Sus scrofa: one gene and its partners. The protein of the gene in region 1 interacts with the protein of each later gene in a pairwise test. Links are inferred from orthologs where the notes say so. Each region holds a gene or a part of one and is shown in the gene's direction. Other genes may lie near its edges.

Evidence for each region.
Region 2: the proteins of ATXN1 (region 1) and EIF4ENIF1 interact in binary tests that used the Homo sapiens proteins (3 or more experiments, as listed by UniProt). The link is inferred for Sus scrofa from reciprocal best matches to the Homo sapiens genes ATXN1 and EIF4ENIF1.
Region 3: the proteins of ATXN1 (region 1) and TRIM32 interact in binary tests that used the Homo sapiens proteins (3 or more experiments, as listed by UniProt). The link is inferred for Sus scrofa from reciprocal best matches to the Homo sapiens genes ATXN1 and TRIM32.
Region 4: the proteins of ATXN1 (region 1) and ESRP1 interact in binary tests that used the Homo sapiens proteins (3 or more experiments, as listed by UniProt). The link is inferred for Sus scrofa from reciprocal best matches to the Homo sapiens genes ATXN1 and ESRP1.
Region 5: the proteins of ATXN1 (region 1) and PLEKHN1 interact in binary tests that used the Homo sapiens proteins (3 or more experiments, as listed by UniProt). The link is inferred for Sus scrofa from reciprocal best matches to the Homo sapiens genes ATXN1 and PLEKHN1.
Region 6: the proteins of ATXN1 (region 1) and FAM46A interact in binary tests that used the Homo sapiens proteins (3 or more experiments, as listed by UniProt). The link is inferred for Sus scrofa from reciprocal best matches to the Homo sapiens genes ATXN1 and TENT5A.
Region 7: the proteins of ATXN1 (region 1) and TRIP6 interact in binary tests that used the Homo sapiens proteins (3 or more experiments, as listed by UniProt). The link is inferred for Sus scrofa from reciprocal best matches to the Homo sapiens genes ATXN1 and TRIP6.

Annotation. Positions count from the first base shown.
Region 1 is NC_010449.5:12,304,351-12,307,850, reverse strand, and holds part of ATXN1 (ataxin-1), read left to right. Parts: intron 1-2,626; coding exon 2,627-3,157; 3' UTR 3,158-3,500. UniProt on the Homo sapiens protein: Chromatin-binding factor that repress Notch signaling in the absence of Notch intracellular domain by acting as a CBF1 corepressor. Binds to the HEY promoter and might assist, along with NCOR2, RBPJ-mediated repression. Binds RNA in vitro.
Region 2 is NC_010456.5:48,201,902-48,206,173, reverse strand, and holds the start of EIF4ENIF1 (eukaryotic translation initiation factor 4E transporter), read left to right. Parts: upstream 1-1,472; 5' UTR 1,473-1,491; intron 1,492-1,574; exon of another isoform or gene 1,575-1,678; intron 1,679-1,794; exon of another isoform or gene 1,795-1,967; intron 1,968-2,601; exon of another isoform or gene 2,602-2,606; 5' UTR 2,607-2,633; coding exon 2,634-2,726; intron 2,727-4,272. UniProt on the Homo sapiens protein: EIF4E-binding protein that regulates translation and stability of mRNAs in processing bodies (P-bodies). Plays a key role in P-bodies to coordinate the storage of translationally inactive mRNAs in the cytoplasm and prevent their degradation.
Region 3 is NC_010443.5:257,053,223-257,057,276, forward strand, and holds the start of TRIM32 (E3 ubiquitin-protein ligase TRIM32), read left to right. Parts: upstream 1-1,254; 5' UTR 1,255-1,376; coding exon 1,377-1,381; intron 1,382-4,054. UniProt on the Homo sapiens protein: E3 ubiquitin ligase that plays a role in various biological processes including neural stem cell differentiation, innate immunity, inflammatory resonse and autophagy.
Region 4 is NC_010446.5:42,040,184-42,043,683, reverse strand, and holds part of ESRP1 (epithelial splicing regulatory protein 1), read left to right. Parts: intron 1-2,858; coding exon 2,859-2,957; intron 2,958-3,092; coding exon 3,093-3,147; intron 3,148-3,500. UniProt on the Homo sapiens protein: mRNA splicing factor that regulates the formation of epithelial cell-specific isoforms. Specifically regulates the expression of FGFR2-IIIb, an epithelial cell-specific isoform of FGFR2.
Region 5 is NC_010448.4:63,331,054-63,333,846, forward strand, and holds part of PLEKHN1 (pleckstrin homology domain-containing family N member 1), read left to right. Parts: intron 1-489; coding exon 490-636; intron 637-728; coding exon 729-809; intron 810-910; coding exon 911-983; intron 984-1,268; coding exon 1,269-1,396; intron 1,397-1,469; coding exon 1,470-1,601; intron 1,602-1,704; coding exon 1,705-1,785; intron 1,786-2,459; coding exon 2,460-2,535; intron 2,536-2,653; coding exon 2,654-2,793. UniProt on the Homo sapiens protein: Controls the stability of the leptin mRNA harboring an AU-rich element (ARE) in its 3' UTR, in cooperation with the RNA stabilizer ELAVL1.
Region 6 is NC_010443.5:84,543,806-84,547,968, forward strand, and holds the start of FAM46A (protein FAM46A), read left to right. Parts: upstream 1-1,363; 5' UTR 1,364-1,682; coding exon 1,683-1,702; intron 1,703-1,890; coding exon 1,891-2,455; intron 2,456-3,613; coding exon 3,614-4,163.
Region 7 is NC_010445.4:8,711,840-8,716,020, forward strand, and holds the start of TRIP6 (thyroid receptor-interacting protein 6), read left to right. Parts: upstream 1-1,381; 5' UTR 1,382-1,540; coding exon 1,541-1,649; intron 1,650-1,941; coding exon 1,942-2,069; intron 2,070-2,161; coding exon 2,162-2,287; intron 2,288-2,574; coding exon 2,575-2,961; intron 2,962-3,257; coding exon 3,258-3,351; intron 3,352-3,459; coding exon 3,460-3,629; intron 3,630-4,115; coding exon 4,116-4,181. Other genes in the region: SLC12A9 (solute carrier family 12 member 9), read left to right, coding at 1-692. UniProt on the Homo sapiens protein: Relays signals from the cell surface to the nucleus to weaken adherens junction and promote actin cytoskeleton reorganization and cell invasiveness. Involved in lysophosphatidic acid-induced cell adhesion and migration.

The DNA of each region.
Region 1 (3,500 bases):
GGTGTAGGTCACAGATGCCGCTTGGATCCCACGTGGCTGTGGCTGTGGTGTAGGCCGGCAGCTGCAACTCCGAATGGACTCCAAGCCTGGGAACCTGCATATGCCACATGTGCAGCCCTAAAAAGACTCTCTCTATAGATAGATAGATATACAAAAGACAAAAAGAAAAAAAAAATTCAATCTCTCTCTCATTTTTTTAGAGCCACACCCGCAGCATGTGGAGGTTCCCATGCTAGGGGTCCAATCAGAGGTGTAGCTGCTGGCCTATGCCACAGCGACGCAGGATCCGAGCCGCATCTGCGACTTATATCACAGCTCATGGCAACACCGGATCTTTAACCCACTGAGCAAGGCCAGAGATCAAACCTGCAACCTCTTGGTTCCTAATCGTGTTCGTTTCTGCTGTGCTACAATAGGAACTCCCACTAATGCTCTCTTTAACTGTGCTTATTCTGTGGGAAAAGCCATTGCATTCTTGATTTTAGTATTTTTTTTTCATCTGGAATTTCCATGGATCTTTTAAAAATAGATTCTAGTTCTCTATCAAAATCCTCATTTGTCTTTAATCTGAAATATTATAAACATAGTCATTTTAAAGTCTGTATCTGATGACTCCGTATCAGAAGCCACTGGGGGTCTGTTTATATTACCTGTTCTTTCTACTGGTTTTTTATTCAGCTCAGCTGCTCGGGAACCTTCTCCCAATTAAAAATGGAACATCTTTTATTTGGAAAATTTCTTGAACTGTGGAAACAATTCAAGACTTTAATCCAATTTTAGGGACAAAGAGGATTAAAATCTGAGCTTCAGACATTGAGAGGGCCTGTCTGCTTCTGTTTCACCTTACTTGTAGATTTCAGTGCTTTTGGGGGGTCCCAGCCCCGAAGTGCCCAGTTCACTGGAGAACACCCTCATGTCTTGCTGAACTCCATTCCCTGCCCCCTGAAACGTAACCCCCATGCTCTTGAGATTACTTAAAGCCCACTCAGTTTCTTAACTTCCCCACTTTGGAATCTACTAATACCCTTGGGGGGAAATAGCACCACCACCATTCAAATCTCTGGCCATCATTTCCTGATCAAAAGCCAGTGATTTTTTTTACTGTCTTATTTTCTGGCTACTGCCATCAGGAAAAAAAAAAAAAAATAGTTCTTTTACATTTGGTCCAGAGTTTGCTTGGTTTTTTGTTCAGAGTGTTTAGTTGTCCTCAGCAGGAAGGTTGGTACAAATTACCTAGCCTGCTGCACCTAAAAAAAAAAAACCATTGAAAACGTGACTGTTTAAAATTACTTTATGGTTTGCTCTCTTTTTTAATACATAGCATAAAGTGGAACATAATAAATTTCCATGAAAATGAAACTGTTCAAACTTGAAATGCATTTCACCCTGATGGAATGACAGTGGTAAGACTTCCATCACACCGTTCGCAAATCCCCGCGCACCCACACCTCCCTGCCTTTGTTCACACAGCCCTGCTTCCAGGGACACCTTTTCCTTGTACCCATTCCTCTCTTCCAGTCCCACTATTTTTTAAAACTCAGCACAGTGTGCCCTCATCAAGGATGCCTTCCTTACCCGCCTCTTCCATGCCTTTCCTCTGCCCTCCAACAACTTAATCCAGCGCCATGCGTGACCACCCCGCCCCGTGACCACACTTGCCACATCCTCCGGAGGTGATTGTTCCTGTGCCTTTTTTGCCCATTTGATTAGGAACTCCTTTGAGACCAGGACCGCTGTTTGCAGCGCGTTCCTTATCACAGCGCGCGGCACATGGTAGCACAGAGAAAATAGCAGCTATTAAAAGGATACCCGGCTTCCCTGGCTTCCGATAGTTGTTTTTCAAACAGAAAAGAGATGGATTTGAGTACCTGGGGCTTGAGTGTGTAGCTGGGCTGAGCGCTGGAGCTGTCTGTATTCATTTCACCATCTACCCAGCCGTGTCTTCCCCCCAAATCCTGCCCATCCTTTGGGTCCTAGGAGCCCTCCTTGCTTTCTCCGGCCGTCACGGATTCTTCTCCCCCTAAATTCCTAAAGTACATATTTATTTACCCAATAAATATTATGTTTCAACCATGTACCATGTGCTAGGTACTCTTAGGGGCCGGGGCCACAAGTGCTAAACACCTAAGTATGTAGCTCACGGAGCTTAACACAGTCTAACTCTGATCCTTATTTAGCCCTGTCATCCGTGAGAATAGCATCTCTGCCGTGGGCTCGTAGAGCATGAGACCAGACCTTCAAAGGGACCTCATGTGCAGGGCTAAGCCCAGCACTGAACCCTAAGTAGCTCTTCCGTCTTCCTGGGGGGGTGGTGTCAACTTTGTTTTGACAGAGACCAGCTATAGCGCTAATACACAGTAAAACAGTATTTTGAATACTGAACAACTGTTACTGGCTTCTCCCCAACATCTGTATTGGGTAAGTCCAGATCTGGCAGAAAATGAAGTGCCCCGTTGGCACGTGTTGGTGGAAGAGGTTTGTGCAACTGTCTTATTTTTTTTCCACTCGCCTTCTATGCGTGTGTATGTTTGTGAACAGGTGTATATCAAATCAAACAGGAATGAAATGTCTTCATGTTTTTCCCCCCTTTCCCCACCCCGCTCCCTGTCTCTCCCTGTTTCCACAGGTCAGCGTGGAAGTTTTGGTAGAGTATCCTTTTTTTGTGTTTGGACAGGGCTGGTCATCCTGTTGCCCAGAGAGAACCAGCCAGCTCTTTGATTTGCCGTGTTCCAAACTCTCCGTTGGGGATGTCTGTATCTCACTCACCCTCAAAAACCTGAAGAACGGCTCTGTTAAAAAGGGCCAGCCCGTGGATCCTGCCAGCGTCCTGCTGAAACACTCAAAGACCGACGGCCTCGCGGGCAGTAGACACAGGTATGCCGAGCAGGAGAACGGGATCAATCAGGGAGGCGCCCAGATGCTCTCCGAGAACGGCGAACTGAAGTTTCCAGAAAAGATAGGATTGCCTGCCGCCCCCTTGCTCACCAAAATCGAACCCAGCAAGCCCGCGGCCACGAGGAAGAGGAGGTGGTCGGCGCCGGAGTCCCGCAAACTGGAGAAGTCGGAAGACGAGCCACCTTTGACTCTTCCTAAGCCTTCTCTCATTTCTCAGGAGGTTAAGATTTGCATCGAAGGCCGCTCTAATGTAGGCAAGTAGAGGCCGCGTGGGGAAAGGAAATCGGCCCTCCTTTATCATTTGTATCCAGATTACTGTACTGTAGGCTTAATAACACAGTATTTACATGTTATCCTCTTCCTTTAGGTTTCTGTTATAACCTTGTCATTAGAGTTACAGCTGGTGTTGGGCAGGAGACGGTGCATATGCTTTTCCCACGCGTGTCTCTTGGCGGGTGGGCAGCTGGGGGCCAGGGCAGGTGCAGCCCAGGCCCCGGGCGCGCATCCTGGTGGAAATGAAGGTGGCCCCACGGCACCTGCCTTTTCTAGAGGCACAGATGCACCCGAGGGGCGCTGACTTCCACCAGTTTCAGGACGACGGTCTG
Region 2 (4,272 bases), on another chromosome or scaffold:
TCACAGCAACGCCAGATCCTTAACCCACTGAGCAAGTCCAGGGATTGAAGCTGCAACCTCATGGTTCCTAGTCAGATTCGTTAACCACTGCGCCATGACGGGAACTCCCAAAATGCAGATTTGATGCAAAATAAGTGTTGAGTTGAGCCACTGAATTTTGGGATGGTTTACACAGCAAAAGATACCAGAACACAGTGTTTTTAATCTTATCTCTAATTCCCACTACAAGCCTGAAGAGTAGATACTGCTATCTTTCTTCGATAGATGAGTAAACCGGTTCAGAAAGGTGAAATGACTGGCTCAGGTCTCACACTCAGTGGCAGAACCAGGATAAGTGTCAATAAGTGGGATTTCTCCATAGTGGCTGGCAGAAGGAAAATAGTTTCTAAGAAGCACATTTTATTCAGTATTACAGACAAAAAGAAAAAGGATTCATAATTGTTTTTCTCTGTTGTCAAGACGCGTAAAACGGGAACTTAGTGACCATTCACTGCCCAAGTAAAGTGAAGCTAAAAGAAAGCAGGCCCCTTCAAAGAAATGTGGATTTCGCTCTCCTTCAGCAAGAAAAGTTGTTTTCCTCCACAGTCATGCATCATTTCACGGTCCCACTGGGCAGAAAGGGGCTCATGAAAATCCTGCAAACTAGGCTCACGTGTGATCTCCATCAAACCTTTCCTGACCGCTCCTCCCCGCCAAGGCAGTTACTTTCACTGCTCACAGAATAAATTACATTTGCGTTCTGTGCCCAGGTCAGCCAGTCTGGGCACTAGGCACTACGTACTAAGCGCTTGACGTTCGCTGTCTCTTTTTCACCCAAACACATGTGCACTTCCCCTTCCCGTGCAGGCTGAGGAGAGATTCAGGTTATGCGCGGGAAAAATATTTCACTGAATTTGTCAGTCGCCCATAGCTCAATCAACAGCAATCGTGGCGTTTGATTATTAACGCAGCAACGCATAATTTCGATTATTCCTCTTATAATTGTATAGAAAGGCCATTTTAGTAAGAAAAGTAAAACTCAGAAGTCAGAGCTTTGCCCAAGATTACACCACCAGTTAAAAAAAAAAATCCGATGTTCGAGCCCACGCCCCGGAAGGCCCCAAAGTCCCCGTGTTCGCCTAACTCAGATTCCTGCTGCCCCAGAGGTTCTCTGCCAACGTGAACCTCGCTAACAAAGCAACCAACACGTTCCCACGTTGCGGACCCCGGCCCACTTCGCGAGCACCTCCTGCCCTGTTGAGCTCCGCCCCGAAGCGCGCGTGGGAACGCGGCGTTCTCCCCGGGGCTGCCCAGGTCGATCGCCTGCGCGCATCGGGGAGGGCTTCGGCTGCCCCCACACCAGCAGCCTCCCAGCCTCCGCCTCCCCGCCGCCCGGCGCACGCAGGGGCCAGCGCCCGGGGAGCGCGCCGCAATGTTTTTCTTTTCCGCCCGGCACCGCCGCGGACACCTCACATCCGGGCGCGCGGCGGCGAAGGCGGTGCTGGGGCCCGGGTGCGTGGAGGGAGTTATTAAGGGGGAGGGGTCCGGGGAGGAGGGGCGGAGGGCTGGGCCGCGGTTACGGCGGCTGAAGGGAGACAGCCCGAGCTGGTGGGGGGGGCGGGGCGAGAGCGAAGGCCGCGCGGAGCAGCCCTCGGACCGGCGCGGGCGGCGGGGAGGGGAGCGGCGGCCGAGGCACCGAGTAAGGGCCGGGCGGTGTATGGGGCGCTGCGCGCCTGGGTCCGCAGTAAGAGAGGGGGCGCGCTGCGCTCCGGGGTCGCGTGCGTGAGCGCAAGCGCCGGGGCGCGCGCGGGGGGCGAGCAGGGGCGCGAGGCCAGTTGGGCGGCCGGCAGGCAGCGGGCGGCCTGGCGGGGCCCGAGCCGCCGGGCCGCGCGGGCCGGGGTGGACGGTGCGGGCCTGCGCCGGCTCCAGCTCGGAGAGCCGGCGCTGGGGGATTTGGCTTCCCCTTCCCACCAGCCTGCCTCCCCTCGGTGAGTATGGTCTCCACCCTTCCTCCGAAAGAGGCCGCTGGGCCGGGGCCTACGCGAGAGGCCGGGGGTTGGGGTTTCGGTCCTGGAAGCCGAGTTTCGGAGCTGGAGAAGGAGCTCGCTTCTTCCTTGTCATGGGCACCCCTGACATGTCCACAGGTGCGGCCGGCCGGGCGAGGAGCGCTCGGGCCCCGTCCCCAATCCCTGGTCTCTGATAACAAGGGGCAGCTGGCGCCGTCCATTGGCAAGTGACAGGCACTTTACCACAGCCCTACTTCCCGGATCCCCAGCCCCAACCCGTCTCCTACCTGCCCCCACTCCTGCAAACTTCCCCACTACTGCCTGAACGGCCTTCATGGGTTGCAGCGACTAGTCTTGGTTTCTTTTTATATTAAAGCTGCTTAAAGGTTGTACCCTGATTTGGGCACGTTCCGCCTTTGCTTAGAGCTCTTTATTAGAAGAGACATCCAAGTTCCAGTGGTTCTATTTCTAAGTAGGTTGCGGTTTATACTGTAATTTTTGGGTGAGGGCTTTTTTTTTTTTTAAAGTAGTCATTTTAAGCGATAAGAGCTTCAGTTTCTTAAACAGTAAGGATTTCTGAAAATATATTCTTAGTGACAGTTTTGTCCTGATTTCTTCCAGGTGTAAAGAACTGTAGACCAAGGAGCCATGGATAGAAGTGTGGGTGAATCAGAAAATGGAGATGCTTTCCTAGATCTGAAGAAGCAACCAGCCTCCAAATCCCCCCATCGCTATACAAAAGTAGGCTTTGTTACTAATGAAATAGTGTTTCTTTATAGGTGAGGAGGTTAGTAACATTGTATAGGCATTTCATTAGTAGTATTTGAAATGATAGTCTCATTCTTACTCACTATGTGGACTAAATATTAACCAGATTTAGTAAAGAATTGCTTAGAACTTTTTCTGGAAGTTTACACTAGAATTTGCTTCTAAGTAGTTTTCAGGTAAAGAGAATATGGTCTTAGATCCCATGTGGATTTGTGGTTCAATATATGTTGGCACACAAGTTCTGTAACACGTGTGTAGCTGGTATGTTATTGTCTTACATGTTGTAGAGTAAGAATTACAGTTCTGGGATGCCACACAGAAACCTTGTCTGCTGCATTGATGTTTCCTTGAGAGGTGAACTCCTCACAGGAATGCTCTTTGATTTGCCTGGCTAGGAAAATCAGATTTTTTAAATCTTTTAATTTTTTTTTTTTGCTTTTTAGTGCTGAACATGCAGCATATGAAACTTCTCAGGCTAGGGAGTTGAATTGGAGCTACAGCTGGTGGCCTACGCCACAGCCGCTGCACTTAGAGATCTGAACAGAATCTGCAACCCACACCACAGCTCTCAGCAATGCTGGATCCCTGACTCACTGAGCAAGGCCAGGGATCAAACCCACATCCTCATGGATACTAGTGGGATTTGTTTCCACTGTGCCACAACGGAAACTCTGGATTTTTTAATTCTTTTTTTTTTTTTTTTTTCCCCTCCCCTAACTTCCAGTAAAGTGGATGTGGAGTCACAAAAGTATGACTTCAGTCATATTTACCCTAGCTAAAAATTTATGGTTTTAAACTCTAGATATCTACTTTTTCTGGAGAGGTGGATGGGTATCACCACATGGTTGTGTATTTATTGAAGTTACTGCTTCACTGTCTTGTGGGCTACTGAAGAGGTTGACAGAAGCAGTGAATTCTTTCCTGGTTCCCTGAAGTGTATTAGGCTGGAGTACATAAAATGTGCTTGGGACTGTTGACAGGAAGAATTATATTCTAGTTGGGTCTATATATTTTTTCAGTATGTACCCAATCAAAGACTCTAGTGTGGGTATTGTCTCTGGCTTCCCAGGATGCTGATTGGTTGGTATTTTAAAGCCAGGCTCTGTTTTTGTACTCATGCCACTACTCTTATCTACTCAATAAAGTATCAAATGCTATTGGAGTAACATTCATTTTTAGCATTAAAAAAAAAAAACTTCTAGAGGAAAAAGTGTCTTCGAGTGTAAAAGGGATCATGATTAATTGCTATCCTAACGCAGCTTGTTTTGGTTTAACAATGTGAATTGATAGAAAGCACTTTATTTGTTCATTTGGATTTGTTGCTTCCCAAGCAAACCTGAGAGTGCTTGAATAGTGTTAACAACTTAAATTCATTACCTAAAATGTTGACAGGTGAAATCCAAATGCAGAAAAGCTTATTAAGTGAAGGGGAACCTATTTGAGCTGCTTTTATAAGTTCATGAGAATTCAAGTTTTCCAGCACTTTTTGAATAAAAATTCTGATTGGTACTTTACTTGC
Region 3 (4,054 bases), on another chromosome or scaffold:
TAACAATCTCAGTTAATCCTTAGAGCAAATCTGATCTCCACTTAGAAAGAAAGAAATGGGCAGAGAGAGTAAACACAGTTAAGAGGCTGGGTTCTCAAAATCAGTCCAGTCTGGGCTTTATACTTATGAACAAGTGGCTCTGTTATTTAGCTACCCAGATATCAGCTGCTTACCTCATAGGGTTTTGATGAAGATTAAGTGAACTATGCCTGTGAAGTGTGAAGCTCAGCCAGACACTAAGTGCTCAAAGATGTTGGTTCTGTGGGTTTTGTTTGCTGTTTTATCATTGTGAAAGGGTCAGGCTACGTACCCAGGATTTCAAATCCAAGCCCATACTCTCCTAAGCTTTACTGTATGGCTGGCTCCAAACGCCGCCAGCCCATAGGCTAGACTCTGTCTCTCCTGCAAGGATTCTACCCTTTCCTGGCTCCCCGAAAGCCTGACCTGGGTAGCTTCAAATTCAGGGACAGGGGCTCAGCGTGTTCCCCTATCTACCTCTGCTGTGGGCCTCCCAGCTGAGTAGGTGTAAGAATTCTTCACGAGATCAATCATCATATAAACTTAACTCTAGGCTGCGGTGTGTCACAAGGCAAACTATGGGCCCGAAGCACTACCTTTCTAAGCGTGTTTGGTTCTGTGCTTGCCCCACAGTGAAAGCTCGATTCTCTCTTTGGCCCATTTCTCCGACGGTAAAGCTGAGGTTCAGAGAGGCCACTGGCTGAGGACCACTCCTGGAGACCACGTTCTAGCGTACAGGTTGGAGCCAGACATATGAGTTCTGGTTTAGCTCCCGACTCGCTGCGTGAGCTTGGGTGGGCCTCCTTCGTCTCATTTCCTCTAACCTTACCATGGGGACAGAAATCAGAATTACGTATTTCTAAAGCACTGAATCCTGACCCGAAGAATCGCCGCGACCAACGGCTGGGCCGCGAGCTCGGCCCGCCAGCCTACAAACCCCAGCCAGGCTCGGGGGGCGGGGCGTAGTGACGGACAGGCGGCTTTGCGAATTGGCTCCCGCTAAGGCGTGCGCGTCCGCGCGTGCGCAGAGGCCGGCGGGCGGGTGGGCTGGCAGCGGTGGACGCGTCGGAGCCGCGGCCGGTCAGGTAGGGGGCGGGATGGAGGGTGGGGGACGCGGGATCGTGGCCCGAGTCGCTGGCAGCGGCTGAGCGGCTGGGCGGGAGCTGTGCGGGCGGCCGGTTCGAGGCATAACGGCAGGGTCTGGGGACCGGATCAGAGAGGCAGGACCGGGGTGGGGGTGGGGCCGTGAGGGGCAGGCTCAGTAGGGCTTCGAGGGGGCTGAGGAGCTCGGAAGAGGTGCCGCCGGGGCGGAGAGCTAGCGGCTCTGAGAAGATTCACGGTGCAGCATCTTGGGAGGTATGAGGTAATGTGGGGCCCTGAGAGACGGGTGCAGCGGCATCTGGAAGATGGGAGGGGATCTCAAGGCCCTGGAGGGATCCGAGGTGCAGAATCTCGGAAATATGGAGGGATTGGGGAGCCCTGATGAGACTTGAGGTGCAGAATCTCAGATTTGAGAGAATCCAGGGGCATTAGGCTTTGGGGGGAAAGATCTGAGATCAGAGGAAGCAGGGTCCAGGACTAACCTAATTGCTTGGGAGGAAGCGTTTTCCCGAGTGGAATTTGGTCTGAATTCTTGCGGGAGATCAGTGGGAAGCTGTGTCTCATCTCCTTAGAAAAAGAAGAGGCCTGGCTAAGCTTTGAAGTGACACATGACGGGGGTGGGTAAAGGAAGAAGGAGCATGGATTAAAGGCAGGGGCAGGGTCCTGATGGAATGCAGGGGAGGGGGGCTGAGATTGAGGGAGTGCACAGATCCAATGTGTGGGATGGGGGTGTTAAGGTGTGATGCAGGGCTGAAGGCCACAGAGACTTGGAAACAGGTCACAGAGATTTGGGCACATGAGTGAGGAACTGGGGGGGTGCCATATAGAGCCCAGAAGGCTGGGATTCTGTGTTGAGTTGGTGATGGGGTTAGGAAAAGCTGAAAGGCAGGGTGGAGATGTACCAATCGGACGTCAGAATGAAGAGACTGACTAGAGTTGTGGATTGGTGTCGGGCTGCTAAAGGCATTTTCTTGAAGTCTCTGCATGGGAAGCACAGGGTCTGGGGACCCAAGGACCTAGAAGTAATGTATGACACTGTATATGAGTATATGAAGTTTAGTAGAGTTCAGGCATTTGGCAGTAAAGTCCTAAGTCTGAGATCAGGGCTCCTGAAGGAGCCTGGCTTTCCCTGTGAGGGGCGGACTCTCCCTCACTTACTAACCGCAGATCCCTTATTGTGAGGCTGCCATGGCTCTTCCACTAACTTCACTCTGAACCCTGAACCTGCGGAAAGTGGGAGGCCTGGGAGAAGAGAGTGGTCAATGGGATCATAAAACAGGAGACTATTCAAGGTCTTGTCCAAGCTCCCCTTTGCCTGTCCCTCCAAGCTGTGGTGACAGGTAGTCTGTGAGACCTCCAGGAGATGGCTGGAACATGTTCTCAGGTCTTATTGTCCTTATCAGTGATATAAGTAATCCTACATAAGGTCCATTACAGGGGCTCTGTGAATGAGGTGTTTGGACCAGGAGAGTAACCAAAAAAGGGGAACTCAGATGTATTGAACATTTAGTCCTGTGCCAAGTTCTGAAGAAATGGTTCCTAACTGGCAGTATTTTTGTCCCCCAGAGGGCATTAGTCAGTGTATGGAGGCATTTTTGGTTGGCACACTTGGGGTGTTGGGTACTCCAGTAGGTGGACACCAGGGATGCTGTTGAACATATTAAGGTGTGCTAGACAGCCCCCATAACAAAGAAGTATCCTGCCCAAAATGTCAGTAGTGCCAAAGTTGAGCAGCTGTGCCCTAGAGTCAGATATCCTGGCCTCAGATCTTGGTGCACACATGCTCACTCTCTCTCTCTCTCGCGCTCTCTCTCTCTGTGTCTTGATTTAGTTATTTAACTTCCCTGTGCTTGGCTCTTCATCTGTAATATGAGATTAATAACAGGACCTATAGCATAGATTATTGTGAAGTAAATCAGAGTGCTTAGTGCCTGGTGCATAGTAAGTGCTCAAAATTCAGTAATTTAAAAATTTTGCATCTCCTTTCTTAATCAGTTTTCGTAGCCACCCTACTAAGTAGGCTCCACTATATCCAGTTTTACACTTAAGGAAAGTAAGGCTTAGAAAGTGACTTGTCTAATGCTCCATAGCTAGACATGGCAAAGCTACACTCATATTCAGATCTCTATAACCCTGTATATTGCCTCTTTCCTGCTTTTTCCTTGCTGGGGCCTGCTTAGTCTTAACTATCTCTATCTCAGCCCATTCCCCTCTAATGAAAGGATTCTCCAGTGAGCATCACTGAATATCAAATTGAACTCTAAGGGGAATAAATCTGATTAGGTAGGGAGTAGCCCTGAGCTGTATTCTCGATTTGCTCTTAGACCAGGATCAGTGGGTAGATAGGAGAAGGGTTTGAAGTTAGCAGGCAGGCTGAGGTGCACTAGAGCATGAGGTATGAAGGCCATTGGCTTGAAAGAAACACTTCATAGCAGGGACTGAGGTTGAAGGCATCCATACTCTGGAAAATAACTCCTGTTCTGAATGATCTCTAATGAAACATGGGACAGACTAACAGCATTTGCTCTGTCAACTCCAGGACTAGCTACAGCATTGCTGAGACCAGTTTAGAAACATAGTAGGACTGCATGAGAAGGCCAGAGATTTAGCTGGAATATCCACACACATACCTAAGGAAATGAGCAATAGAAATTCAATCAGTTTGGGAATCACAGACTTGAAGTCCAAAATCCTTCTTCTGCTGCTGAGTTATTAGGTGATCTTGGACAAGTACTTGCCCTTACCAGCCTCGATCTTATTGAAAACTTGAATAGCTACCATTTATTGAGTACTTATTATGTGCATTATCTCAGTTAATCTTGCCAGTGACCCTGACAACAGTCTAGGTGCTATTACACATTTTACACATGAGAAAACAAATAGGTTAAATGATTTACCCAAGGCTCCATAGCACACGGCAAAGCAGGGATGTGAG
Region 4 (3,500 bases), on another chromosome or scaffold:
TTAACCACTGCGCCACGACGGGAACTCCTGATGTGACTTTTTTAATTGTTAAATTTTAAAACTTGGGTAGGTAGAGGTCAGCATGCTACTAAAATCCCAAAGTACACGGGAACATCCTCCCACTCCCCAAACAGAATTATCCACCCTACGTGTTACTTATGCCGAGGTTGAGAAACCCTGGCTTATACAATGACGTTGGTTCCCTTTCTTGGATCCATTTCTCATTCCTTCATTAGGCTCTTGCAAGGCTGCAAAGTGTTATTAGAATTGTGGGGTTCCAGATGAGCGTTTGTTGGCAGAGTTTATGTGATAAACTATGACTAGTCACAGCTTATTCTTAGTTCTGTAAGGGCCCTTAAAATCTCTTCCATCTCCCTCAGAAAACATTGGGCAGTTGTCTCCCTAAAGTGTCTTCCTCATCCTTTGGCTTCAGTTTTTCCATCCCGTCATCATATTTGAAAATGGGCACTGAATTAATAAATACTTTATAACGCACTTTTCCAAGGATAACCATTTGCATGACCCCAATCGGTGGTCATTGTTCTGTTGTTTGAACATCTTCTGGGCTTGATTTTCTTTGTTGTTGTTGTTGTTGTTGTTGCTATTTCTTGGGCCGCTCCCGCGGCATATGGAGGTTCCCAGGCTAGGGGTCGAATCGGAGCTGTAGCCACCGGCCTACGCCAGAGCCACAGCAACGCGGGATCCGAGCTGCGTCTGCAACCTACACCACAGCTCACGGCAACGCCGGATCGTTAACCCACTGAGCAAGGGCAGGGACCGAACCTGCAACCTCATGGTTCCTAGTCGGATTCGTTAACCACTGCGCCACGATGGGAACTCCCTGGGCTTGATTTTCTAATCCCTCAGTGGGCAGCACATTTATTTCACCACAAGGTGGTTGATGTCAAAGGGCGGGACTGCAGAAATCATCCTCCATCTCAGCTTGATGATTATCCTCTGAGTATACAGATAGGCATCTGGTGAGTTCAGATTTTTTTGGTCATAAATGTGACCCTCTTAAAGTGTGATTATCCTGGGTTATGAAAGTTGGTCACCTGAGGTTTCTAGGAAGAGGGGGAAGGAAGAACGTCACTTATTAAATGCCTGCTTTGTGCCCTGGGCTTGTTTTATCTCAATCTTCACAAGAGCCCAGGAAGGTAAAGAGTATCACAGTCTTGGCTTTACAGATAAGCTGAAGTTTAATGGGGTTAAGTAATTTGCCAAGGAACACACAGCGGACGTCCTACACGCAGCATATTAAACTGCATAGAAATGCAACAGGTTAAGAGTTAACACAAAAATGAAGTGGCCTAGCACGGTGGGAAAGAAATGCAGTGTGCCTCCTTGTGGGAGAAAGAAAAGAGGAAGCTGGAGGGATGAAATGGAAACGGATTTGGAATGGAGAATGGAAAAGAATATAATATTTGTCTTAATTTTTTACCCTTATTACAAAATACCAGTCAGAAAACATTTTTATAAAATAGGGCAAACATTTTAATGACCACCATCCAGATGGCTGGTTTAATTTTAAACTTGAGGAAAGTTAGAGTCCTGTAGTATTATTTGTTACATGCATTGTACTACATTTCCAAAACGTATGCAAATTTGTACCTAACACAAAGTGACTATAACTATAGCATTGAAACTTAAAACTAAAGAAAGTAAACATTTCAATGATTGTTAGTTCCTAAAGTAACTTTTTAAAATTTGAGTTTATTGGAATATAGTTGATTTACAATGTTGTATTTCAGGTGTATAGTAGAGTGAGTCAGTCATGCGTATAAATATATAAATATACATATATTCTAAGATAATGATTTTTGACAAAGATACGTGCTTATTTCAGATTGGAAATTCATAAAACTTAAGGGAAATCTCTTTTGGTTGCGCCCTCAAACCTAACTTTAGCCACACATCTCTTAAAAGCCACTTGCCCTGGCTTGCCCAAACAGGGTAGTCCCTAAATCAAAGGCCACGTTGGCCATTGTTGGCTCTGAGTGCTTGAATTATTTCTACAAATTTACTCTCAAAGGACAAATATTTGCTACCATCCATGATGGCTGTATTATGGGACTGCAAGAATCTTCTAGAAGGGAAGTTCTGAATGAAAATGGCATCATAGATGTAGTGTTAGCAGTCATCCGAGGTGTCTCGAACATTAGGCTAAATAAAGTGACTTCATACTAAATAGTCTTTTTTTCTTTTTCTTCTTTCTTTCTTTCTTTTTTTTTTTTTTTTTTTTTTGTTGAGGAGCAATCCTGCAGCATATGGAAGTTCCCAGGCTAGGGTTTGAATCAGAGCTGCATCTGCCGCCTTTGCCACAGCCACAGCAGCGCCAGATCCAAGCTGCATCTGGCTTACAGCAATGCCAGATCCTTATCCAACTGAGCAAGGCCAGGGACGGAACCTACATCCTCATGGATACTGTGTTGGGCTGAGCCACAACAGGAACTCCACTACTTTGTAGTCTTGATGGATGTGATTATATCTTTAAGTCAGGAAGGTCATTAACTTGTGTGTGTTATAAAGATCGGATTAAGGATTCTGTTAACTTTGTTGTACACTTCATGGTTTGAAACTAAAATGCTTATTTGTCATGCATTTGCTACTACCCAATACACATGTTATCCTGGTATTACTCATCAGGACAGGATGGCTTTGGTCATCTTAACCCAAAGGTCACCTGGACACTGAGGGACTGTTGGTAAAGTCCAGACTGATCAGAAGCAACTCTTTCTGAGATTTAAAAGAATTGTCAATCTGGATGCATTTTACTTACTTGGCTTCTTGGCTCTGTTTAATTTGGGGTTCGAAGCAGCCTCATTTTACCAAAATGTTTCCTTAACTTAATCTCCCAGGTTTAAATTTTGAGAAGAATAGTTCAGCCTCCCGGTATGGAGCCTCTCAAGTAGAAGATATGGGAAATATAATTTTAGCAATGATTTCAGAGCCTTATAGTAAGTATTGGTGTTGTAACAATGTGGACCCAGAATCTGATCCTATCCACTTTCCCTCAGCTCTACTTCTGAATTTCCCCCCACAGCTTTGTCTCCCTAATAGCTAAAATGATGGCTTGTGTGTTCTCATTTTAGATCACAGGTTTTCAGATCCAGAGAGAGTAAATTACAAATTTGAAAGTGGCACTTGGTAAGTACTTGAATACTATTCCATTTGAGCCTTTTGATATGTTTTTATTCATATCGTGATATTTAACTCCCCTTATATTTGAGTAACTTTATCAAAACGTTTGGCTATCAATGTTCTAATATTAGGTCATTCATCAAAGTAAGCTTGGGTGTTGGGATTAACATTTAATGAAACAGGAATTTGTGTTGTGGCTCAGCGGTAACGAACCCGACTAGTGTCCATGAGGATGTGGGTTCAATCCCTGGCCCCCTCAGTGGGTTAAGGATCTGGCATTGCTATGAGCAGTGGTGTAGGTCGAAGACTTGGCTCAGATCCCTCATCGCTGTGGCTGTGGTGTAGGCCGGCAACTGCAG
Region 5 (2,793 bases), on another chromosome or scaffold:
GGTAGTTTGAAATGGGCTGTGATGGGAGTACTTACACCATGGAAATTGGCAAGTACTATAAATCAGCCCCCCACTTTTTGGTAGCAACGATTTTTAAAGCTTTGCCAGCGCTGGAGGTGTGGGAGGGCTTCAAGCATTGTCTCCCCAAGGCACCTGAAAACCCCTTTGACCAACAAGCCTTAGGAGGCTGAACAACGAAAATAAGGGAACACAGCTTAGGAAATAGTGATGCTAAGGGTTGGATCTGCATTGTATCGAAACCTCACTGACTCCACCACTAGACCACGGAATTCTGTGACCAGCAGGGAGGCCGTGTGTGCGCGCGCACACGTGTACATGTGCCTTCTGCATGTTTTCGCGTGAAGGGGCTACGAGTGCGTGCAGTGCGTACACTGCGTGTGCGTCCTTAATCTATATGTGGTGTGACTGTGGGCCGGGGCTGCTGGCCCCAGGTCAGGCCCCCTCCCCTGAGCTCTGCCCCCACCCTAGAACCTCCCCGGTCTGGAGAGTCAGCCCCAAGACCTGGAGCAGCCTTTTCTGAGTGTGTTCAAGGCGGGCCGGCGGAGGGCACCCGTGCGGAACCTGGGCAAAGTCATCCACTACGCCAAGGTCCAGCTGCGCTTCCAGCACAGCCAGGTGGGGGCCAGGCCGAGCTGGGAGGGGCGTTCTTGGGGACCACGCTGCCCCCCCACCCCCAGCCCTCAGACCCTGGCCCTGCTTTCCCGCAGGACATCAGTGACTGCTACCTGGAGCTGTTCCCCTCCCACCTCTATTTCCAGGCCCATGGTTCTGAAGGGCTCACTTTCCAGGTGAGGGGAAATGGGCAGTGGGAGGAGCTGGGCGAGGGGAGCCAGCAGCTGCTGGGGCGGGTGGCCCAGTCCTAGGACTTCCCTCCCGCTGTGCTCGGCAGGGGCTGTTACCACTGATGGAGCTGAGTGTCTGCCCACTGGAGGGGTCCCGAGAACATGCCTTCCAGATCACAGGTGTGCGGGGGGCCCGGTGTGCTGCCCGTGCCTACCCAGCTGCCAGAAGGACGAGGGCCCTAAGACTGCTGCTGAGCAGGCCCCAGGACCTTGGCGGAGCTCTGAGCACATTGAGGGGCCCTGGCTTTTCCTCCGATGGGCACACGTGCACTTGCCAGGCTGGGGTGGAGGGCAGCGGGTTGGGACCTCCAGAGCTGTGCGTGTGGTGGTCAGTGGCTCCTCCCAACCCTTGAGAGTCCTTTCCTGTGGGCTGCAGGCCCATCCCTGTCTGCCCCTCCCCAACAGGCCCGCTGCCCACCCCTCTTCTCGTGTTCTGCCCCAGCCAGACCGAGCTGGGCCGCTGGCTCTACCACCTGGAGAAGCAGATAGCCCTCGTGGGGGGGCTGCCACGCCGCCACCAAGTGCCCCCGCAGGTCAGTGCTGGAAATCCTGCAACCCTTTCCCATCCCCAGCCTCCTCCACCTGCCCCTGACCCCCTTCTACCAGGGCCCCCCCGAGGACGAGCTCCCCTGGGTGCTGCAGCGCAGGCTGACCCAGCTGCGGACGGCATCTGGGTGCCAAGTGGTGGGCAGTGCCATCTGTGCCTCGAGGGTCAAGCTGCAGCATCTGCCCTCACAGGTGCGTGGGGGGGAGGGCACAGAGGAGGGAGGAGGTGGGGGCAGGTCCAGGCCCTGGACGTATGCCTGGGAGACCCTGTTCTGCCCTTTGACCCCCCTCACAGGAGCAGTGGGACCGGCTCCTGGTCCTGTACCCGACTTCCCTGGCCATTTTCTCTGAGGAAGCAGATGGGCTTTGCTTTAAGGTGGGTCCCTCAGCGCAGTGGATCCGCCCCAGGGAGGAGCCCTGTGCGTGGGGGGTGGGAGGGGGCAGCAGCGCAGGAGGAACCTGTATTTCGGGGCCTGTTGGGACAGACAGTACAGGCCCCACCCACCCAGCTCACTGCCCTGGTCAGTCTGGTCTCAACCTGAAGTGGGCAAGGAGGGGCCCCCGCCTTGGCCCCCCATAGCATCCTAGAGGGTCCTCGGCCACCAGCAGGCCCATCCCCTGGGGCGGGTGGCATGAGGGCTCCTGTGGCCCTGAGTAGACATCTTCCGGGTGCCTGAGGGCATGCGTGGGCACTCTTAGAGCCTGAATCGTCTGCCACATGCAGCACGATACCTTCCACTCTGGGTTTGATCACGGCCTTCAGTCACTGAGAAACACACACATGGGGGGCTTCCTCGTGATCCCTTCCCACTCACCCCCATCTTAGCAGGTGACCCAGGAGACCAGTCCCCATAAGCATCCGTCTGTGTTGGCCGTTGGCTGACAAAGTCTTCCCCAGAGACGGGGGAGAAGGGATGCCCAGGACAGATGGGGAGTGTCTGCCTTGGCCCTGCCTCGCGCACTACCTGGCTGCCCATGCAGCTCTGCGGGGCCCAGGCAGAGGCCTGGCTGGCTTCTCCTAAGGCCCCATCCTCCCTTGACGCCCCGCAGGGGGAGCTTCCACTCAGCGCCATCCACATCAACCTGGAGGAGAGGGAGAAACAGATCCGCTCGTTCCTGATCGAAGGTGGGCGGAGGCCAGGCCTGGGAGGAAGGGTGTGAGCCTGCTGGGTGGCCACCTCTGCACCGGGGCTTTGAGGGGGGCACCCTGCCTACCAGGCCCCCTCACGGCCTCCGTGTGCCAGGCCGTCTCATCAATACCATCCGTGTGGTGTGTGCCAGCTACGAGGACTATGGCCGTTGGCTGCTCTGCCTGCAGACTGTCTGCCACAAGGATGGGGCCTCCCTGCTGCCCGGCCCTGAGAGCTTCCCTGGGCTTCGGGCG
Region 6 (4,163 bases), on another chromosome or scaffold:
CCTCTGAGGTCCAGCGGGTGCCTACGCTTAGGCGCGCAGCTCCGCAGGGCACCAGCAGGGGGCGGCGTTGCCCCGCAGCTGGCTGCTCCGCGGGTGACTGTTCTCCCCCTCCCCGACCCGCGCCTCCCCGCCTCCTGCTGGGAGCGGGGCCCTAGTGACGAGGCCCGGGCTCCCCAGCCCGGAGAGGGAGGGCTATGCTTCCTTGCAGGCCGGGCGGCTGGGGTCGAGCGGGGCCATGGGCGGGAGTATCCAGCCCGCCTCTGTCCCCGCCGTGGCCTCAAGACGAAGGAAAGTGGCTCTCAGTTTGGAAAAGGGTAGCGAGCGGCCAGAATTGACGGCAGGAAGAAAGGGGGCGCTTTCTAGCAAACGCGGGCCTCGAGCGCTAGTGCCCGCGGAGGTAAGGCCACACTCCTTTCAAGCCGCGGAGGCGCCGGGAGTTGTGGGTGTGGAGGAGGGACGGTCGCAGACTTTAAACTCGTGCTTTCGCGGGTCGTGGAAAACTCGCTCACTTCACCCTGACATGTGCATTCACTTGAACAACGCAAACCTTAGTTGCCGGCGAGGAACGCGCTTCACCTCCTCAGCTTCTGGATGGAAGAACGCTCAGCCGAGCTTCCGGCCCCGCGACCTAGCGGCCGCCCACCCCTTGCGCCCCGCGTTTCCAGGCCAGCGTGCCCGCCCGGCCGTCCGCTCGGGGACGCGCGTTGGCCCGAGCCGCGCTCCCGGCCGCCGCGAGCCTCGGGTGCGCTGGGCTTGGACGCACGCTCGGCTCCGCCCCCGCGCTCCTCTGGCTCACCCCAGCCCGGCGCGCCGCCTGAGGTTTGAAGAAACGAAACTCGGGGAGCCTGCCCTGCCCGTTGCGCGCAGACACTGATTGGCACGGGGAAGTGGACCCCTTAGTTCACACTGAGGCCGAGTTTATTAATGCCATAACCGCTCTAGTGCTACCCCACACACTGTTTAAAAGGGAGGTCAAGAAGACCCTCTGGAGCCCCCGTCACTAAGCTTTGATGACGAGCCGCATCCGGCGAGAATTTTGAGAAGTTTCAGCAGTTACGCGATTTTCGCCTTGATCCGGTTTTGAGGGCCAGTGAGGACTCTTGAAGTATCTGAAGTGTCTCCTCCTTGGGGAAAAGGAAGAGAGGCGTGGGTGGGTGGGCGTCCCTACATCAAATCTACCTACAGGAACTAAAGTGAACTCACGCACCGCCTCCAGCTTCGCGCCCTGGGGACCGGTCCTCAAGGAGCGCGGCTCTGCTGGGCTCCCGCCGCGGGCGCTGGGCGGGCGGGGGCGGCTCCCTATGCAGATGAGGAGGGTGTGGCGAGCATGCGGCGCCGGGCCCCGGAAGCGCCAAGCGGCCACGGTATAAAAAAAGTACTGGAGACCTTTCGCCCGCACAACTGCTAAAGCTCCAGAGACAGGAGCGTGTGCGGCGGCGGCAGCGACAGCAGGAGCCGCCACCTCTGGGACCACCGCGGCTGAGGCGCGGGCGGGGTCGAGGGGCGGGAGTGGCCGGCGCAGGCGGCAGGGGTCTGGAAAGGACTAAGTCGCTCGCCACTGCCGGGAGCGTCTTCGCGGCTCCTGGAAGTGTTGCCGCCTCGCAGTTCCTCCATCGCCGCGCTCCTAGAAGGGGCGGCCGCCTCCAGGTGACACAGACGGGACTCCCGCTTGCGCTTTCCAGATGCATCAGAGATACTTTTGGTGCGGGGCTGTTCTGCGGGGCGCGGCGCGCGCGGCTGGGGGCTGGGGGGCCTGGGGCGGGCGCGTCTCCGGGAGCTCCCGAGGCGGGAGGCGAAACGAGGAGGGGGCCGCTCCTTCCTCCGGGGGCCCGGCTCAGCCCCGCCGCCGCGCGTCCTCACCGCGCTCCCCCCACCCCCGTTTTCTTTTAGGACTGACCAGGGCCAAGTGGCATTCGGCGGGCATTTCATGGCGGAAGGCGAAGGGTACTTCGCCATGGCCGAGGACGAGCTGGCTGGCGGTCCCTACATCCCCCTTGGCGGCGACTTCAGCGGCGGCGACTTCGGCGGCGGTGGCGGCGGCTTCGGCGGCGGGCACTGCTTGGACTATTGCGAAAGCCCCACGGCGCACTGCAACGTGCTGAACTGGGAGCAAGTGCAGCGGCTGGACGGCATCCTGAGCGAGACCATCCCGATCCACGGGCGCGGCAACTTCCCCACGCTCGAGTTGCAGCCCAGCCTGATCGTGAAGGTGGTGCGGCGGCGTCTGACCGAGAAGCGCATTGGCGTCCGCGACGTGCGCCTCAACGGCTCGGCCGCCAGCCACGTCCTGCACCAGGACAGCGGCTTGGGCTACAAGGACCTGGACCTAATCTTCTGCGCCGACCTGCGTGGGGAAGAGGAGTTTCAGACTGTGAAGGACGTCGTGCTGGACTGCCTGTTGGACTTCTTACCCGAAGGGGTGAACAAGGAGAAGATCACACCACTCACGCTCAAGGTAAAGCTACCCGAGAGAGGCCGGGGGCCCGCGGCGGACCAGGCGCGGGCGTGAGGCGCTAGGCGTGGGGGGCGCACGTTTGCTGCCCCGTCTCGTGCAGGAGCTTTGGCTTATTTTGCATTTGAGTTTTTTTTAATGGGTAAACGAAGATGCGTGAGCTGCGTTGTGTGTTCTAGTTTACTTGCTGCTTCAGTGCCCCAACTCTTCTGCTTCCTCCTCAGCTCTGCCTTCTCTTCCTTCTCCTTATATTTTAACTCTTGGCTTTCCTTGCTTGAGTCCTGTCTAGAGTAGATTCAGATCCGCGGGAGAGTGAAATGATGTAAATCTCTCTCTCCTTTTTTTTTTTTTTTTTCCTTCTTTTGAGTCATTTGATGATTTAGTCTTTGGGAAAAGAGCAGCCTGCAGCAGAGTCGAGTCAATGGATTTATAATTGTTTTGGAAAATGTGAATAGATTTCCTAGCTGCCTTCAGCTGACTGCTTGTACTGAGGATGTATGTGGCGCTTCCCTGGGTTGGTTCCTCTGTTCGGGGTATAAATGGGTCCTCGCCTCCCCACTTTGGTTCATAGCGCGGTTTTATACGATTACCTAAAATAATCTGAGGTACCAGCCTCCCCGAATGTCTTAATTTAGTTCACATTTGATTTTAACTGCAGAACTCCTGGAGGGACATACAAAATACTGATCCTATCTGTTGCCTCAGGGGCAGATGAACTAGGTGACTAGGGACAAGGGTGAGAGGCAGACCAACTTTTCACTGTATATTCTTCTGTACATTGAATATTGTGATATTGTGTGAATATTGTACCTATAAGATCCCTTTCAAAAAATAACATTTCAAAAGTCAGACATGACAACAGAGCCTCTTAGTACTGTGCTACGTCTGCCAAAAGCCTCAAACTATTATTTCTAGTCTCTTTCCCAGACGGCAAAACCACTCGTTAAATGCAGGTTTTTTGGTTTTTTTTTTTGTTTTTTTTTTTCTGTTTTCAGAAGACTGTTTAATGTGCCAGCCTGCAGGTAGTGTTTTGCTGAAACTTGACAAAATAAAGAGGGGAGGAGCAAAATGAGTCTCAGCTGTGACGAGGATGTATTTATTCATTTATGATTTTTCCCCCCTAGGTTTGCTCATCTTCTCGTTTTGTCTTTTAAATTGTAGGAAGCTTATGTGCAGAAAATGGTTAAAGTGTGCAATGACTCTGACCGATGGAGTCTTATATCTCTGTCAAACAACAGTGGCAAAAATGTGGAACTGAAATTTGTGGATTCCCTCCGGAGGCAGTTTGAATTTAGTGTAGATTCCTTTCAAATCAAATTAGACTCTCTTCTCCTCTTTTATGAATGTTCAGAGAACCCGATGACTGAAACCTTTCACCCCACGATCATCGGGGAGAGCGTCTACGGGGATTTCCACGAAGCCTTCGATCACCTTTGTAATAAGATCATTGCCACCAGGAACCCAGAGGAAATCAGAGGGGGAGGCCTGCTTAAGTACTGCAACCTCTTAGTCCGGGGCTTTAGGCCCGCCTCTGATGAGATCAAGACGCTTCAGAGGTATATGTGTTCTAGGTTTTTCATCGACTTCTCAGATATCGGAGAGCAGCAGAGAAAACTGGAGTCCTATTTGCAGAACCACTTCGTGGGCCTGGAAGACCGCAAGTATGACTATCTCATGACCCTTCATGGAGTGGTGAATGAGAGTACAGTGT
Region 7 (4,181 bases), on another chromosome or scaffold:
CTGTGGCAGACGCCCTGAAGATGAATAAGAATGTGGTTCTTGCCCGGGCTTGTGGGGCCCTGCCCCCTGAGCGACTGAGCCGGGGTTCCGGGGGTACCTCTCAGCCACATCATGTGGACGTGTGGCCCCTCAACCTGCTGCGGCCCCGGGGTGGACCTGGCTACGTGGACGTCTGCGGCCTCTTCCTGCTGCAGATGGCCACCATCTTGGGCATGGTGCCTGCTTGGCACACTGCCCGCCTCCGGATCTTCTTGTGCCTGGGGCCTCGGGAGGCCCCAGGGGCAGCCGAGGGGCGGCTCCGGGCACTGCTGAGCCAGCTGAGGATCCGGGCAGAGGTGCAGGAGGTTGTGTGGGGTGAGGGGGCTGGGTCCGAGGAGCCTGAGGAGGAGGAGGAGGGGGACTTTGTGAATGGCAGGCGCGGAGACGCAGAGGCAGAGGCCCTGGCACGCAGCGCCAACGCCCTGGTTCGGGCCCAGCAGGGGCGCGGCAGAGGAGGAGGGCCTGGTGGGCCTGAGGGTGGGGATGGCGAGGAAGGGCCCACCACCGCCCTCACGTTCTTGTACCTGCCTCGGCCGCCTGCTGATCCCTCTCGCTACCCTCGCTACCTGGCGCTGCTGGAAATTCTGAGCCATGACCTGGGCCCCACGCTGCTCATTCATGGCATCACCCCTGTCACTTGCACTGATCTCTGATGCCGGTTCCTAGTAGAGAGTGTCCAGGTCGAGTGGCCCACTTTGCTTGGCGGGTTGAGGAGGGGAGGTGCTGCCTCTTGCCCTCCTTGTACTTGGGACTCGGACCCTGGTGGAGGTATTAGGGGAACCTGGTCTTTGGGAGAGGGTCCTCGCTGTGCCCAGGGCAGCTGAGCCGGCGGCCACCACTGGCGAGAAGTCAGCAGCCCTCCCCCACGCTGGCCTCCCTCCCTTCACTGGTGCCTTGACGGGGCTGGGTCTCCGCTTGTGACTCTAGGCTACCTCAGTCTCCCCGCCCCTTGCCCAGTAGACTCCTCACCCTTGAGGTTGTGATGTTTTTGTTCCGTTTTATTTTTCTAACTGCTGAATGTGAATAAAAGACCAAAACACTAGGTGCTGGCCGAGCGTTTCTGGAGGGAGCCGGTAGGGGGGACAGAATGCGGGACGAATCTGTATGCGGGGAGGGGCACTGGAGCATCCCAGCGCAAGGGGGCCACGTGCGGACTTGGGGCACAAGAGCCCCGTGTTAAAGGAGGCTGCCTGAGCCTCCCACCCCCACCCCCCGGGCCCACGCTCTGGAGGAAAGCCGCCCCGGCTCGCAGGAGGGGGCCGACTAGGGGAGGGACGGCAGTTTAGGGCCTAGGGGGCCACGTGACCCTCCCCCAGGAATGCGATGACGTCATCGGGGGCGTGGCCGTCCCCAAAATTGGGGAGGAAGGGGAAAAAAAAAAGCCAGAAAAAGTTTCTGTCCTGGAGTCCCAAGCGAGGTGTCGGGGGGAAGAAGGGGTCAAAGTCAGAGCCCTGGGCTCCGTGGGGCCCTGACCGCTGTCTGGAGTCCCCCATTCCAGACCATGTCCGGGCCCACCTGGCTCCCCCCGAAGCAGCCGGAGCCCGCCAGAGCCCCTCAGGGGAGAGCGCTCCCCCGAGGCGCCTCCGGGCCGCCGCCAGCCCACGGAGCAGGTAAGGCAGCCCCAGTGCGGTGCGGAGGCCACCGGGCCACCAACACTCAACTCTGCCCTGCTGCTCTTGCCTCCCGCTGAGCCTGCCCCTGTCGCCCCTTCCCCAAGCCCGGCTGGAACCCGCCGCGCCCCCGCCCTCGCCCTCTCCCAGCCCTCACTGCCTCCTGCCCCATTCTCGGACCCCAGATGCGGGGGGAGAGGGGTGAAGAGGGACCCAAGACCGGTGGCCTCCACAAGTGTCACCCTCCTCTCCTTCCCCATCCCCACCTTGGCTCTCTCTTCCCTCACCCCAGCACTCCAGTCCCACCCCAGGGTCAATTTTTGCCCCCTCCCATCTGAGCAGTGTTACCAGGCCCCTGGGGGACCGGAGGATCCGGGCCTGGCCTGGGTGGGGTGCCATGGAGCACCCCAACGCTCACAGGTGAGCACCGCGATTAGGGGGTGTGGGGGGGACTTAGGGCAGGAGAAGAGGCCATATGAGTTGCATTCTCCCTGCTTTTGCTCTATCTCCAGGGGCTCCCCCCGGACAGGGGGGCCTTGCGCCCAGGAAGTCTGGATGCTGAGATAGATTCCCTGACCAGCATGTTGGCTGAGTTGGACGGGGGTCGGGGTCACGCCCCACGGCGGCCTGACCGGCAGGTGACTCCCCGCTCCTGTCCCTCCCTGTCCTTGTCCCCCACCCCTCCCCCGCAACCTGGTTCCTGCTCTGTATTCTCACTCCTCTTCTCCCTCCACATGGGGGATGCACCCACCAGCGAGGAGGAAGCTGGGCCACCAAAACGTACTAGGTTGCCAGCCACTCAAGGACGGGCCCTTGTCAAAACCAGTGCTTACCTGGGTGCCACAGACACAGGGTTCAGGGGTTCCACAGATGTGTGTTCTGGATTGGGCCCAGCTCATGCCTTCTGGTCTGTGCTTCTCTCCAGGCTTATGAGCCCCATCAGCTCCCTGCCTACCGCTCAGGCCCTGGCTCCCTGAAGCCGAATGGAGGGAGTGTTCCTCCCACACCACTCCCAGCGGCCTCCTATGGCGGCCCCACGCCGGCCTCCTATGCTACGGCCAGCACCCCCGCCGGCCCTGCCTTCCCTGTGCAAGTGAAGGTGGCACAACCAGTGAGAGGCTGTGGCCCCCCCAGGCGGGGGGCCCCTCAGGCCTCGGGGCCCCTCCCCGGCCCCCACTTTCCTCTCCCAGGCCGAGGTGAAGTCTGGGGGGCTGGCTACAGGAGCCACCGTGAGCCAGGGCCAGGGGGTAAAGAGGAGGCTGCCGGAGTCTCCGGCCCTCCGGGAGGAAGAGGAGGCGGGTACGGGCCCCAGGTAAGCCCTGGGCCCTGGGATTTGGGGTCCTCAAAGACAGTTGGATGCTGACTGGGTGGGGTGGGGGTGGGGGTTGATGTTCCAGTTTTCAAGCTCTGGATTCCCTGGGGGCGGGGGGCAGGTCAGGAAATAAAGGAGGGAGGGGACTAGATCTGCACACTGGCTCCCAGAGGCACACCCCTGGCCCCTGGGCTGGGGTGTTCTCCTGTGAGCTTTTGGGTGGAATTGCCTGATCACTCTCGGTGACAGTATTGGGAGGGAGAGGTAGGATTGAACCCCTGATTCTCACCTCCCAGGTCCCCCTGAGCCAGCCTCCCGAGGAGGAACTTGAGAGGCTGACCAAGAAGCTGGTGCAGGACATGAACCACCCGCCCAGTGGGGAGTACTTCGGTGAGCTGCCCCCCGCCACACACCCCGGGCAGGGGGTGGGGGGAGGTCAGGTAGACAGTGGGTCTGGCTTCCCAGTCTATGGTTGACCCTGACCCATCCCGTCCCCAGGCCGGTGTGGTGGCTGCGGAGAAGATGTGGTTGGGGATGGGGCCGGGGTTGTGGCCCTGGACCGTGTCTTTCACGTTGGCTGCTTTGTCTGTTCTACGTGCCGGGCCCATCTCCGGGGCCAGCATTTCTATGCCGTGGAGAGGAGAGCGTATTGTGAGAGCTGCTATGTGGTGAGTGGTGGGGGCTGGCGGGGGGTGGTGGCAGATGGAGTCAGCAGCAGGAAGCAGGGGGCTTCCATCCAGAGTGGGAACTAGGTGTCCAAGCCCCAAAGAATAAGGCTCGAAGCAGGAGAACTAAAACTAATAAAGAAAAAGGCATGGATGAAATAAGTAGCTGTATACTGGTTGCTGGAGAGAAAGGACAACATTCCCCTGTAAGAGTGAGGCATTTATTTTCGGTTTAGGGGAATGTGCTGAATCCCCACAATGCCCTGGTGAGGCAGCTGTTACTCCTGAAGGAAACTGAAGGTCTGAGAGCTTAAATATCTTGTCTGGGGAAGCTGCAGTGCTAGGATTTGCACGCATACCTGTTCAAGGCCACCTTTAACTGAATCACATGCAGGGGGCTACATAAATAGGTGGGGGAGCTGGCAGGATGCCTGTAAGGGCTGCCATGGGTCACCCCAGCCCTGACCTTCCTGCTCTCCTTCCTGACAGGCCACCCTGGAGAAGTGCTCCACCTGTTCCCAGCCCATCCTGGACCGGATTCTGCGGGCCATGGGG